2 linked regions of the Astyanax mexicanus genome follow. The protein of the gene in region 2 purifies or fractionates together with the protein of the main gene of each other region. This does not show direct contact. Links are inferred from orthologs where the notes say so. Each region holds a gene or a part of one and is shown on either strand. Other genes may lie near its edges.

Region 1 (7,178 bases), on a different chromosome or scaffold from region 2:
AAGTCACTAGATGGCATTACCATATATATCTTAATAAATAATAATAATATTTATAATATTTATAATAATAATAATAATAATAATAATAATAATAATAATAATAATAATAATAAATATATTATTTAAATTTTATGAGGCATAAAATAATAACAAGAAAAAAAAACAAGAAAATCGAGAATCGAATCGAATCGTGACCCTCAAATCGAAAATGAAATCGAATCGAGGATTTAGAGAATCGTGACACCCCTACTGAATACCATCAGCTAATTCTGCGCAATGCACATCAGAGAATTCTATATATGGGCAGAGGAAAAGTGCAAGCTGGACAAAATGATTACGAGCATCTGTTTGTACATAAATGGCAGAGGCAGAGATTAAAGGACTTTTATTTGAGATTTATCTAGCCTTACCAGTAGTTCTTCCATGCTGGTCTGGCATTTCTCCAAGTTGATTCTTTTGACGGCCACACGCTCTTGTCGAGGGGTGCAGAGAGCAGCCTGGACTACTGCTGTGGCTCCACTGCCTAGAGAAAAACAGTTAAAAAGGTATTACACATCTCACACATGTGGGAGTGATAATTAATACTATTATAAATGAATATACAAATCAGAAAACAGAAATTCCAGGCAAAGTAAATTAGTAAAATGACAGTAAATAAGATTAAATTAATGAAATGTGTGATTCCAGAAAGTAACAATAAACAGAAAGTAGAATTGGAGGGTGATATGGCAAAAATTGGTTAATCACAATAATAATAGATTAACACTTCAATGACAAACGCATGGATTGTGTGTCTGAAATAGTTCTGAAAGGATATAAAATGTGTCTAACTTTTCTTAACACTTTACAATTTACAATTTAATAAACAACACTTTGAAATTTCATAGAACTGTTTCAATAATGTTTGATGCTTGCATTTGTCCAGTGTTGTATATGTGCCAGTAATAGGCATAGCATACTTTGAAACATGAATTCCGATGTAACATATCAACATAATTACAATGAAATGAAGTGTAATAAAGTGTAAAGCCTTATAAGCCAATACAGAACTGTCAAAGCGATCAGTAACTAGCTCAGGTGTTGTACTAGCTCAGTGTTCACAAGTTTTAAAACTCTGCCATGTTCAATAATAGTGTAATTTTTGCCTGTACTGAAACATTCTACATGCTCCGCTTCTATCAAATGACTGCAGATAACACTGCACATGTACCCGTCCCATTAAACAGCATCAATACTGAGGGCCTGCTCAATCACCATACAGCAACGCAGTGCTGCTGTTCACACGCAGAGTGTGTGTGACCCACCACACACACCATGCCAACTGCTGCTGACAGATAAGAAGGAGGGGGTCCTGAATGTACAGCAGTGCTGATTAGGAACACAGCACAAATGAACAGAACAGGACCTCTTCAGTAGAGAACATCGCTTATCAGCCGATATGATAAGGCCCCACCACAGTTCATCTATAGTGACCCGCACTATCTGTGACTCTGAGACATGGAAGGGTCTTTGAGGGGTTATGTTTGTTTTAAGCACAGAGCCTAGGGTCAAGTGTATTAACTAAAATAACAAGGTTTATAGAGCAGAAAACAGAATTACAATTGAACAGATAAAAGTTATCAATGAACTGATAAGAAGGGGAGGATTGTACAAGCATTCTCTTTAAAAGCCTCTATAAATATTAAGCAGAAGTAGCAAGAAAGGTGGGATAAGTAGGTAACACTTGAGAATTTGACAACAATGCCCACATCATAGGTTTTCTGACCATATCAGATAATAGTCATAGCTGCAGCTGATCAACCACTGACTTGGCAGATATAAAATTGTATGTGGTTACTATATACAATTATGGACCTTTTACATTTACAGTAGAATTTATGAAAATTAGGGCTGGGTGATACTGTAAACATATGAGTAATTCTCAATTGAGTTGTAACAGCACAATTTAAAGTATCCTATGTAAAGTTTCCTTTACATGTAACTGCATTTTTTAACAAATAGTAAGCAGCCACCTTCAATCTTACATGCAGCTTTTATAATAAACACAATGCAAACATAATGTGCTTAAATTTCAGGTAAGGAAAAGTGCTAAATATGAAAATTCACTGCCACATAAAAGTTTTTACAGGAAGCTGACAGATTTTGTTTATAAAGTTATACAATCTTGATTACCCCATATTGTTTTTCTAATTTGATGAATCAAACTAATATGATTAACCTCCCAGTCAGGCTTGCCTTGCTTGGCACTATGTTAGCTCTCTAATAGCTTGATGACAGTATAATAACAACAAAACCAATTATCATAATTCTATACCTAAATCTATTCTAGTCTTTCTAAGCTGTTTAAAAGTCTGTAGAGAGAATAAGGAAGGTGTGAGACAGTCTCTCAGGAGGCCTGGGGCAGACTTCACCTGAGATTTACTCTCCTGGAACCAGACAGTCTACATGCCACTAATGCCTGACATCTTCCTGGACACGTGCCATTAGAAAGCATCGTTTATTAGCAATCTGACAGTCTGCCACACTATCTAATAACTGTACCGTATAAGCAAGGGCGCGATCTCCACGCAGGCTGATTTACAGCAGAATGCGCTGCGTTTTAAGACAGTTAACCGGTCAAATACAGCAGTCACTGTCTATCTGTCACATCCGCATTGCATTAGTGAGCCCCGGCTGCTCCGCTGGAGCTACACACAGCAGCGCATGAAAAAGCCGGTAGGCCCGCTTCGCCATTCACCAGAACAAACAGTATAAGTACCGGAACCGCAATCAGCCGCTGCCGAGAACCAGCCCAAACTCCCCGCTACTAACCGATAACCTCCTGGAGCTCGTACGCCTCCTTGACAATCGGCCAGCTGGTCGTGAGCACTGGTTGCGGATTCTGGACGGGAGCCGGAGACTCGCCTTGCTCCGCCATGATGCTGCTGCGGCTGGGCTGCTATGCTAGGCTAACGGTGCGGAGCTCAGCTTATGGACACACTTTCACCTCCTCCTCCTCCTCCTGTTCCCACAGCAGCAGCTTCAGCCCCAGCTTCTGGTTCCTGCCCACTACAGAAACAGCAGGAGAACCACCCACTCACTACAATTACCCCGAAAACTAGGAGTAAACACCAGTTTTCTCCTAAAGCTTCCACTTCAGCTCTCTCTTCATTTACTAAAGTCACTCAGAGTCAGGCTGGCAGAGGAGATAATGTTTTAAAGAGGAAGTTAGCTAACAGTTCTTAGCTAAGCTAAAGGTTAGGCTTCTTCCTCTCTGACTCAATAGATATAATAAGTTAAATTAATGATAAAATAACATTATAATAATCAAATATTACAATAGAAATTCCCACTGGTGAAATCCTGCATAGCTAATTTAATGAAGGAATATTTTGTGGCCACGACTTAGTAAGCTGTGTAAACAAGATAATTAGCTACCTAGTTAATTAGGTTAACTCGCTAACATATGCTAACCATACACTAGAAGACTATGAAAAGACTTTTAAAAGACTAATGCTGTCCTTACACCTAACGATTTTCAAATGATTTCACAGTCACAGATTAATTTCCAGAGTCCAGATAAAATCAAGTCTGGCTAGAGACCAGCTGCAGTGGAGTCGTGGTCGCGTCTGGATCGTTCAGTCCTGAGACTTGGCTGCTCATAGTCACGAGAACAATGTTAACAACCAATAGGAAGAAGTAAGAATATATTTCACCTGACAGTTTTTTTTGTTGCAGTATTTGTCTTATTGTGCAGAGTTATTTTTAATTATTTATTATATTTAATTATTACTGTATTAATTCTATCTAAAGCAAAGGCAAATGTATAGTAGTGAAACGGTGATTCTTTACTATACCATGTTGTAGTAAAAAAAGGGGGCAATGAAGCTTATAGGCAGAGTTGAACACAAAATGCATTCTATTAAAAAATATCAAGAATTAGAAAAATAAACTGTTGATGGGGACAAAAGCTGTGAGTCTTCGATAAATCACAGTATTGATATACAAATTTGTAACTTAATATGTAATATGTATTGTATGTAAACTCCACTAGAAGCAGGATGGGAAATAACCTTAGAAAGAATCTAGTTGCAGTCTTGCAAATTGTGATCCCCAGTCTTTCCTAAATCTTAGTCTGTGACTATTCTGTGACTAAAAAGTCTGTGAGAGGGTGTCAGACTTCAGTCTGTTAAAAGTCTTTTCAGAGTTTTTTCAAAGTCGTGTAGTGTTTGGACAGCTTAAAGTCTGACACCCTCTCACATTTAAAGACAAATCACATACTAAGATTTGCAAAGATTGGGGATTTTGCAGGTTCACTATTCTAAAAGACAGCAATTAGATTCTTCCTGATATTATTTATAAATAAAATTTTATTTATCTTATTTATTTCATTAATTTATAACATTTTATATTTTCCACTCTGTCTTGGTACAAATGGGAAGACACATTAAAGAGACACTCTTTGCTCACTTCACAGCTCTATTAATTTCTCCTCCTTTGTACACTACAGGAGAACCGCGGTTTCCGAGCCACCATCAGAGTCTAATCCACGCCCAGTTCTGCAAACGTTCCCACATTTGCCTTGCTGCTTCCCTGTAGATCTCCTATTGGTTGTTTAAATTGTTCATGTCACTATTTGCGTCAGCCAAGTTTCAAGAGCTACGATAATATTAAAGATGTTAAACTAGATGATTTTATTTGAACACCAGGACAAGAAAAATCTGGCTAAAGCCTTATCCAGACGGGATTAGTTTCTCAGGGGGTCCTGGGGTAATTTTTTCTTTTATGGGGAGTCCTCTGTCATTTTAATTCTATCTGGGATGGCCATGTATGTGTTTTCTTAGACGTCACCTGATAAAATTATAGGCTGAATTACCTACTGTTTTTCGCTGAACCCCGTGGTCCTTCGGTATTTTAAGTCTTGTCCAGATCCATGTTCAATCCTAACCACCTTACAGTGAATGATAGAGATGACGCGACCACAACTCGACTCACTCGAAATCACTTGAAAATCGATTGGTGTAAGGTCAGCATAAGACGTGGCTCTATGTCTTGCTCAATTGTGGCCATGACTTATTTTTATTTATGTGTAGGACTGGATGATATGGTTTAAGTCTATATTCCAAAATGTTTCTTAATAACATTCTAACATCAGTTAAAACAAATAAAAAAAAAATGTCAGCTGTTGTCATTGTTTTTGTCAAGATGACATTAGCATTAGACATTGTCCTGACATTAAGTTTTGGCCAGCCGACTTCACAATCTAAAATCAAACATTTCTATCGACGTTAGTGGCCAAATAATATTGTTATTTTAAAATATTTACTACTCAATCCTGCTGGTGAAATTCAACATAGATAGTTAAATAAAAGTTGTTGTCATGTCTTACAAAATTATGGCCACAATTTATTCTTTGTATCTCGTTCCCATGCCTTTCGAAGTTGTGGCCATTGAATTATTTGTATTAGGACTGGATATGGCATAAGCCGTTATTAGAGTTGAGGTAAAGTTTCCAGTTAGCGTTAGCTAGCACAGAGCTGGCTGTATGAGTACGTTAGCTGAGTTATCGTAAGCTGAGCTGAGCTAAAGTAGCCAGCTAGCCTTAGCTAGCACAGAACTGGATGTGTAAGTACCTCAGTTAGCGTTAGCTGACCTGAGCTAAAGTAGCCGGCTAGCATTAGCTATCACAGAACTAGATGTGTAAGTACCTCAGTTAGCGTTAGCTGAGCTAAAGTAGCCAGTTAGCATTAGCTAGCACAGAACTAGATGTGTAAGTACCTCACTTAGCGTTAGCTGAGCTGAGCTAAAGTAGTCGGCTAGCGTTAGCTAGCACAGAACTGGATGTGTAAGTACCAGAGTTAGCGTTAGCTGACCTGAGCTAAAGTAGCCATTAGCATTAGCTAGCACAGAGCTAGATGTGTAAGTACCTGAGTTAGCGTTAGCTTAGCTGAGCTGAGCTAAAGTAGCCGGTTAGAGTTAACTAGCACAGAGGCTACTAGTCAGTAAACCTGCATCTAGCACAGAAGAAACACGGCTCATTATTAAACCCGGTCAGATGAGTTCACTTACCCGTCCTGTTTGGAATCCAGCTGAGGCTGAAGTGAAGCATTTCTCTGAAGTCTGATGAGTTAATTTGCTGCAGCTGCGTCTGAAGCTCCATCAGTTCTGGGAGTGTTCGAGTTCCTCAGCTCTTTACTGTGTGTCAGTAGGATGGTGGAATGGACACTAGAGGGAGCTCTAACGGCTCCACTGCAGCACAACACACAGGGCTGCTTGCAGCAGCTACTGAAAAATCGGCTGTGTGCGCAAATACCGACCAATACCGGTTATCAAAAACATGGCAAAAATCGTCCCGATTAATCAAATTATTGAAAAATCACCACTCTCTGTAATAAGAGATGGGTCAGTGTCAGTCACGGTCAGTTTTACTGATATCCTCAATATGCTTACTGTCGTTATGATAAGAACATTTATCACAACACAATAAAATTTTGATATATTTACAGTGGCATGAAAAAGTATTTGCCTCTTACAATTTTTTTTTGTTTTTTGCATTTTTCATATTATCATTACATTACATTACATTACATTACATTTGGCAGACGCTTTTGTCCAAAGCGACTTACAATAGTCAAGTACAATGTAAAATAAGTTTAAAGGAAAAACATCTTTGGATAGGGATAAGAGGAGGACAAAGGGGAATAATAGGATAGAGGAGTGAAGGAGAGGAAGAAGGAAATGAGGTTAGAAGTAGTTAGTGTGTTAGAGGTGTTAAGAGAGTAAGTGCTCTTTGAAGAGCTCTGTCTTCAGGAGTTTCTTAAAGATAGCGAGAGATTCTCCTGATCTGGTAGTGGAAGGTAGTTTGTTCCACCATTGGGGAACTCTGTATGAGAACAGTCTGGATTGCTTTGTGTGAATGTTTGTTTGGTAAAGCGAGGCGACGTTCATTGGAGGAGCGCAGCGGCCGGGAGGTAGCATAAGCCTTCAGGAGCGAGTGCAGGTAGGAAGGAGCCTGTTCTGACATCACCTTGTAGGCGATTATAAGAGTTTTGAATTTGATGCGAGCATCAACTGGTAGTCAATGGAGCTCAATGAGCAGCGGGGTGACATGTGCCCGTTTTGGCTGGTTGAAGACCAGACGTGCTGCTGCGTTCTGGATCATCTGGAGTGGTTTTACTACACAGGCCGGGAGGCCAGTT
Region 2 (7,992 bases):
ACGTGTCGGAGAGGCCTGGGATGTCCTCGGCTTTGGTAGGCGTGACTGTGAAGCGCACCGAGGACGCCATGGCCTCCCGGATCTGCTGGGATTCCGCCAGGGTGACCACTGGGACGACTCGTCCACTCTCAGCTAGCGGTATGAGTGGGACAGTGTCCGGGCCGGAGCGTCTCCATTGAACGAGGCTGAAAGAGGCTTCTGGATATGATCCTTATTGATGGTTGGACGCTACAGCCTTAATGTGACAGTTTTTGGGACTAGCTTTAAATAGCTATAAAACACTGAGCTTAGAATTTGGCTGGTGTGAAAAGAGGTACGAACTAGCTGATAATTGCGTCAACAGTGTTGGAGGATGTTCGAGATAGATATTGTCAATTTTTACCCTGTATCAAAATAAAAACGTATTTAAGACTTGTGTCCAAACCGAGGTAGAAATGCTCTCAGTAAAGTGCTCTATACATTCACAAGGTTGTCTTCTAATGGAAAAATAGAGGATATGTCAGAAAAATGGCTTTCGTTAAATGTCCAGAGACCAGGTCAAACAATCTAGTGCTATTGCCTTTGGCCTTTCTTCACCTCTCTGCAAGCTAGTCTAGACTAGATATGGGTTCACTTTGTCATCTGCCTTGAAAGTGCTTTTATTGTTACAGGAATGATAAGCAGGCTGACGTGACAAAACTGCATCTGTCGACGGAAAACATGGAGAGAGAGAAAGAGAGAGAGAGAAAAAATATAGTAAGCAAGGTCACATAACACATGCCAAGACGATACAATTTACAACTGTCCATTCATTAAATTAACTCAGAAAATTCTAGTCTACCGATACAATTTACAACTGTCCATTCATTAAATTAACTCAGAAAATTCTAGTCTACAGTCTAGAAATGACTCTAGAGTATAGTCTAGAGTAGACATTATATCAGTAATGGTGCAGTTGAATACAGTATCATATCAGAGCTGATACAGTAACTGAAATTTGTTGCATAAACACATTAGTATTGATGCTAATAGTATTGTATTGGTGCCGATATTAGCCCTTAATTACAGTATCGTAATGGTGCTGATACTAGCCCCAAATACAGTATCGTATCTGTGATGATACAGGCTCTAAAAACAGTATTGTATCGATGCTTATATTTACTTAAAATAGAGCATTGAATTAGTGCTGATACTAGCCCTTAATTACAGTATCATACCATGGCTGATACTAGTCTTTAATCACAGTATTGTATTGCTGCCGATGCTTGCTCTACATAGAGTTAGTTTAGCTAGGTTATCTAACTAGCCCCGCTAGCATCACACAGTTCAGCTAGCTCAGCTAGTTAACTAGCCTCGCTAGCTAGCTAGCTTAGCTAGCTAACTAGCCTCGCTAGCTTCATACAGTTCAGCTAGCTTAGCTAGCTAACTAGCCCAGCTTGCATCATAAAGCCCAGCTAGCTTAGATAACGAAATAGCCCAGCTAGCATCACACAGTTCAGATATTTTAACTAGTTAACTAGCCATGCTAACATCACACAATTCAGGATGCTTAGCTAGCCAACTAGCCCCTCTAGCATCACACAGTTCAGCTAGCTTAGCTAACGAACTAGCCCCGTTAGCATCACAGCTCAGCTAGCTTAGAAAGAAAACTAGCCCCGCTAACATCTCACAGTTCAACTAGCCGGCTAGAATCACAACTAGTCTAGCTAGCCAACTAGCCCCTCTAGCATCACACAGTTCAGCTAGCATGGCTAGCTAACTAGCCCCGCTAGCAACAAAAAGTTTAGTCAACTAACTAGCCCCACTAGCATCACACAGTTCAACTAGCTTAGCTAACTAGCCCCACTAGCAACACACAGTTTAGCTATCTAACTAGCCCCACTTGAATCACACAGTCCAGCTAGCTTAGCTAACTAACTAGCCCCGTTAGCATCACAGCTCAGCTAGCTTAGAAAGCAAACTAGCCCCGCTAGCATCGCACAGTTCAACTAGCCGGCTAGAATCACACAGTTTAACTAGTCAAGCTAGCTAACTAGCCCCACTAGCACCACACAGTAAAGCTGGCTTAGCTGGTTAACTAGCCCTGCTAGCATCACACGGTTCAGCATGTTTAGCTAGACAACTAGCCCCGCTAGCATCACACAGTTCAGCTAGCTTAGCCAACTAACTAGCCTCAGTAGCAACAAATAGTTCAGCTAGCTTAACTAGTTAGCTAACTAACTAGCCCTGCTAGCATCACACAGTTCAGTAAGTTTAGCCAACTTGATTCAATTCAATTTATATATTAGCGCTTTTCACAACAGAAGTGGTCACAAAACAGCTTTAGAGAAAAAACTAACTAGCCCCACTACCATCACACAGTTCAGCTAGCTTAGCTAACTAATTAGCCCTGCTGTCATATCACACAGTTAAGCTAAGTTAGCTTACTTAGCTAACTAACCCTGCTAGCATCACACAGTGCAGCTAGCTTAGCTAATTAATTAGCCCCGCTAGCATCACACATATCAATTAGCTTAGCTAACTAACTAGCCCCGCTAGCATCACACAGTTCAGTTAGCTTTGCTAACTAACCCCGCTAGCATCACAGCTCAGCTAACTTAGCTAACAGTTAGCTTAGCTAGCTAACTAGCCCCGCTAGCATCCATATTAAGCCAATTAGGATTTCTGGATCGGACCGGTCAGTCCAGCCCGGAGTCTGCGGACACAGCGCAGCGTTTACAGCACAATAATATTCGGCCGTGTCAGAGATGCGGCGCCGGTCAGATGAGAGTTTAGACCGGGATAAAGTGATAAAAATCTGGCTGATGTTTTAGCCAAAGCACTGCGCCAGGACTGCGGAGGAATACCCAGCACAACACACCAGCAGCCAGCTGTAGTGAATGGAGGCAGCAGGCAGCACTGTTTTCTCTCTGTTTCTGTTTCTCTGTTTACTGCTCGGGTTAGGATTTGTTAGATAAACTAGCTAATTCATTAAGGGCTTTTACCCTTTATCTAGCTCATAAAGCGCCTACCTATTTAGCATGCTGGCTAGTTAGCTATGTGTGTAATTAGTCAAATCTGACAGCTCCCAGGTCCCAGCAGCTCCTGCAGCTGCCAGGTAATAAACACAGCCCCATTATCCCCAACCATAAACACTCCCCGATTCTCCCCATCCAGCACATTTACCTGGAGTCACCTTGTCTCGCCTCAGTTCCGGGGAAAGCCGCGCCTGATCTGGATGAACTGAATTAAACTAAACCCATTCGTGCTTCAGTTACCGCCCGTCCTCCTCCTCCTGCACTGTCTAATAGAGTATTATACACAGGCTCGCTTGGCCACTTTCGCTTTCCGTACAAAAGGAACCGATGTGCAGCATGGGTAATGTAGTCTTATATATAGGTTTCTGAATCAGTTTCTTTGATTTTGTTATTTATAGGTAAATGTTTGAGTAAAATGAACATTGTTGTTTTATCGTTTATCCCAAATTCCAAACAGAAACATTGACATTTAGAGCATTTATTTGCAGAAAATGAGAAATACTGAAATAAAAAAGATGCAGAGCTTTCAAACCTCAAATAATGCAAATAAAACAAGTTCATATTAATAAAGTTTTAAGAGTTCAGAAATCAGTATTTGATGGATTAACCCTGTTTTGAAATCACAGTTATTCACACTTGTCATGTTCTCCTCCACCAGTCTTACACACTGCTTTTGGATAATGTTATGCCACTCCTAGAGCAAAAATTCAAGCAGTTCTACTTGGTTTTTATGGCTTGTGATCATCCATCTTTCTGTTGATTATATTCCAGAGGTGTTCAATTTGGTAAAATCAAAGAAACTCATAATTGTTAAGTGGTCTCTTATTTTTTTCCGGAGCTGTATATATATATATATATATATATATATATATATATATATATATATATATATATATATATATATATATATATATATATATTTAACCAGATATGTGTAACAGGAAAAATAGAATTTGCTTCACAACTGCACATAAGTACTAAAATACTGTATCTATATCTACTGGAGTATTATTTTTACTTCACTACTGTACTTTAATCCATATACATATAAAGTAAAAAATAAATAAATAAATAAATAAATAAATAAATAAATAAAAAAATAAAAAGTAATCTACCTTCTACCACTAAACAATGTTAAAATGTCACTGTTTCAAATTGGGTAAAATAACAAAAACATAATAAATTATAATGATAAGTAACATAATACATATCTGCTTGTTGACTTTCCAAAATACTTAAAGTAGCAGTCCTTAAGATTTTTCTTTAATGAAAATCACCATTATTCACAAGTGGGTAGATAACCTAATATACTATTCTATAATATGGGGTCATTTTTTGCATGTAGAATGTAGAATTTTAAAAGCGGCTCTGTAGTGGTCTGGTAGGTTTCTTCTATTTTTTTCTGGCCCCATCTTATCTTCCTGACAGCTGCACTACAACACTCTATGTTGGTAAAACAATAAACAGACCCAGCAGTAGGTTAGCAAATGAGTTTTATTGAATAAGGGGTTCATTTCCCCAAAGAAAAAAAACTCAGAGATTGAGAGTGGAGTTAAAAATGTGACAAATTAATTCATTTCAAAATTCCAGAAGCAAAGGGTAAACTGCAGAAAAACAGAGAGAAATGTTCTCCTGATTTAATAAAGTATCACATTTACTCAGATTAAAGAAAATGCTTCAATTAAACTGAGGAAAATTTTCATTTTAAAATGATGTCTCTAGACATTGTATAACAACATAATTATACAATTTTACTGGATAGAGTAAAACAAAATATTACGCAACCAACATCACACAAACGTGTGCATGTGCACACGCAAACACACACTTCATGTCCTTGATGTGTCCATTGTTTGGTGCTCTGTTACAGCACAGGTCGTGGCTGTTGGGTCAGCAGAAGTCCAAAGCGTTTCTTTATGGTCACTCTGTGCCGGGAGAACTTGTCATCAGGGGAGAATCGAGCTGGATGTGCAGAGCTGGTGGGCTGGCCTTCTGGATCCACTTTCTGAAATTGGAATATTAATAAAGAATAAATAAATAAATGTTGACTGCATGTATACTGTACTATTCACTACAGTATGTCCAACATACAATGTTCTAGTAGCACACAGAAACATAAATAGCAAATGTTTAATGACTTGCTGCATGTGTTTATTGTTCTGTCTTACACTCTATTTTGTCAGATTTCTTTTTCTTTTCTCTTATTTTTTTCTATTCTCACTGGCTCTACTCTTTTGCACAATACAGCAATTTCTTTTCCTCTGGGAACTTCTTAGAAAGTGTCAAATTTAGCCATCTTTCTCTTAATTAATTAACTTTTATTTGCACATACAGTTATTTTATGGAGTTATATCATTTATAGGGCCAAACAATAAGACAATACTTAAATCATGAGCATGCTTTTATAATACTCAACACTTTGCAAAGCACCATAATTAAAAGAGAAAACCAAGAGAATCTATATTTACTACATAAACATGAAGATAATTGATGGTGAGTGTGATTAAAAAGCTGCTCATCCAGGCAAAAACAGACTATATGCTGGTTAATCAGCTATCAATTAGCATAGTGTTCAATATGTTGAATTTGATTTGCTTTTACTGATGTTACAGAGGTGGGCCAATGTAGTGTCAGGAGTCTTGCCCCTGGCTCCACCAATTGATGTAGCACAGCATACGCACCCAGATTGGGAATTAAACCCCAGTCTCCCACATGTGCCATGCAGTGGTGTTATCCACTACACCACACCAGTCACACAAACAACAAACACACAAAGTGATGTTTAACAGCCAGTTAATCAGCTAGTTGGTCCGTTTTGGCCTGGATGCCTAGTTTCATATAAAAAAAACACATTAACCATAAATGAGTATTTAAGACCATCTACCAGCTTCTTACCAGCTAACTTACCAGCAAAACCCTGCTCTTGAACTGGCTTATTCGCAGGGTACAGTATTGTCTTCATGGTTATTTTGGTTAGCTTGGCCAAACTGATCAGTCTTGTTAACCAGATACAACCACCCAACTCATAATAACTAGTTACATGAGCTAACGTTACACTTTACTGGTGACGATATAAAAAGCTGGTCCACCACCCCAGACTAACTGAACCAGAATGTAAGATCTGAACAACTTCGTTTTTTTTTTACCCTACATCAGCTTTTGGTTAGTAAAGTTAAGTGAGTAACGTTAAAGCGGATCAGGATCCGGATCAGACCTTCAGGGTGTAGACCCGCTCTCCGTTCTCGTTCAGGTAGAATTGCAGAAACATGGTTACAGCGCGGTTCCTCTGGAGTTTAGATTAGATGATCTGAAGCCTTTAAACCGGATTAAAGAGCTGAAAATGAGATAAATCAGCGCTTTACGAAGAACAGTCCAGTATCTGCGTAAACCACGCGGTTCCTCTGCTCCTCAACACCACATCCGGTATAAGTCAGGAGCGAGGAGCATGATGGGAAATGGAGTTCTTAGTAACGACTCATCATCGCTGCAGAGCGACCGCCCCCTGCCGGTACAATAATGCCACACTTTATACTAAATTCATTTTTATATAATAATAATAATAATAATAATAATAATAATAATAATAATAATAATAATAAGGATAAAAATGAGGATTATTAGAAATATTCCTATATTATATGACATTGTATATTATTATATGATCTGTTTTGCCTCAGCTGTACTTTTTACTATGCATATTTTAGCGCACTTTTATTTCCCTAATTAATTCATTAATTGTTACAAAAGTATTATTATTATTATTATTATTATTATTATTATTATTATTATTATTATTATTGTCATTTATTTATTTATTTAAGGAGCTGTTTAACCTCAGCTGTACTTTTTATTATGTTTATTTAGTTGTGCACTTAAAATATAGCTGCACCAATTATTAATAATTATTATTGTTTAATTCGGACAAATTACTTGCTATAATAGATATCAGAGCATAAATATTAAATTGTTTACCTTAAAGGCATTTTTCCCCTTACTTTACTTTTACTGTTTTGAATTTTTTAGTAGTTTTGAAACCAGTACTTTTATACTTTTACTTGAGCAAAATGCTTCAGTAGTTAGTTGAGTAGTTAATAGTATATTATTTTTAGTAATATATCTATAATATTATATAATATGATATGATATTATCCTTATTATTATAGGATATGTTATGCACAATTTAGCCGTGCAATCTAGCTTTAAATATAGCTGCAGTTTGTGTTTCTTTAATGAGCGGAAAAACAAATGAAACTGTCCTTAACTATATTCAAAATGAATAAATTATATTGTTTTTACTTTATTATTATAATATATTTTTTACAGTATATATTTTTAAATAGTTAAGTCTTGCCAGTTTAATTCTAGCAAATTGTTGTTATTATTACTATTATTAAAATGAACATGGATAATCCTTATTCCAAGGAGATTTCCTGTGTTTATTATTATTATTATTATTATTATTATTATTATTATTATTATTATTATTATTATAGTAAATTAAATGTGGTTTATATTGGCTGAATAGAATGCTGTTTATTTTTAAATATAAAAACAAGCTGCACTGATAACTGATGAAGTGAGCGAACCGATCTTCAGTGATAGCTGGAGGCTCTGTTGACTTGCACTGCAGTGAAAGGTGAGTACAGTACAGTATATTCAGTGTTGTGCATGAACGAGTTCAAAAGAGCGCAGAGAGAGAGAGAGAGAGAGAGAGAGAGAGACCAACGACAGAGTGCGGGCGAGAGAGAGGGAGAGAGAGAGAGAGAGAAAGAAAGAGAGACCGAAGACGAGAGCGCGGAGCGCGAGGGCGAGAGAGAGAGAGAGAGAGAGACCGACGACGAGAGCGCGGAGCGCGAGGGCGAGAGAGAAAGAGAGATACAGAAAGAGATAGAGATAGAGAGAGAGAGAGAGAGAGAGAGAGAGAGAGAGAGAGAGAGAGAGCAATGACGGGAGTGAGAGAAAGCGCTGCAATAAAAAAAAATGGCTAGTGGAAGTG

What was found.
Region 1: the proteins of solute carrier family 12 member 6 (region 2) and stk39 purify together in Homo sapiens (affinity purification with mass spectrometry; 3 studies listed by BioGRID and IntAct, with this or other methods). This does not show direct contact. The link is inferred for Astyanax mexicanus from reciprocal best matches to the Homo sapiens genes SLC12A6 and STK39.

What each region holds. Positions count from the first base shown.
Region 1 is NC_064418.1:33,562,053-33,569,230, forward strand, and holds the start of stk39 (STE20/SPS1-related proline-alanine-rich protein kinase), read right to left. Parts: upstream 3,176-7,178; 5' UTR 2,918-3,175; coding exon 2,812-2,917; intron 524-2,811; coding exon 411-523; intron 1-410. UniProt on the Homo sapiens protein: Effector serine/threonine-protein kinase component of the WNK-SPAK/OSR1 kinase cascade, which is involved in various processes, such as ion transport, response to hypertonic stress and blood pressure.
Region 2 is NC_064432.1:21,452,201-21,460,192, forward strand, and holds the start of solute carrier family 12 member 6, read right to left. Parts: upstream 3,285-7,992; 5' UTR 3,145-3,284; intron 685-3,144; 5' UTR 71-684; coding exon 1-70. Other genes in the region: nop10 (H/ACA ribonucleoprotein complex subunit 3), read right to left, coding at 4,861-5,001, 6,211-6,264.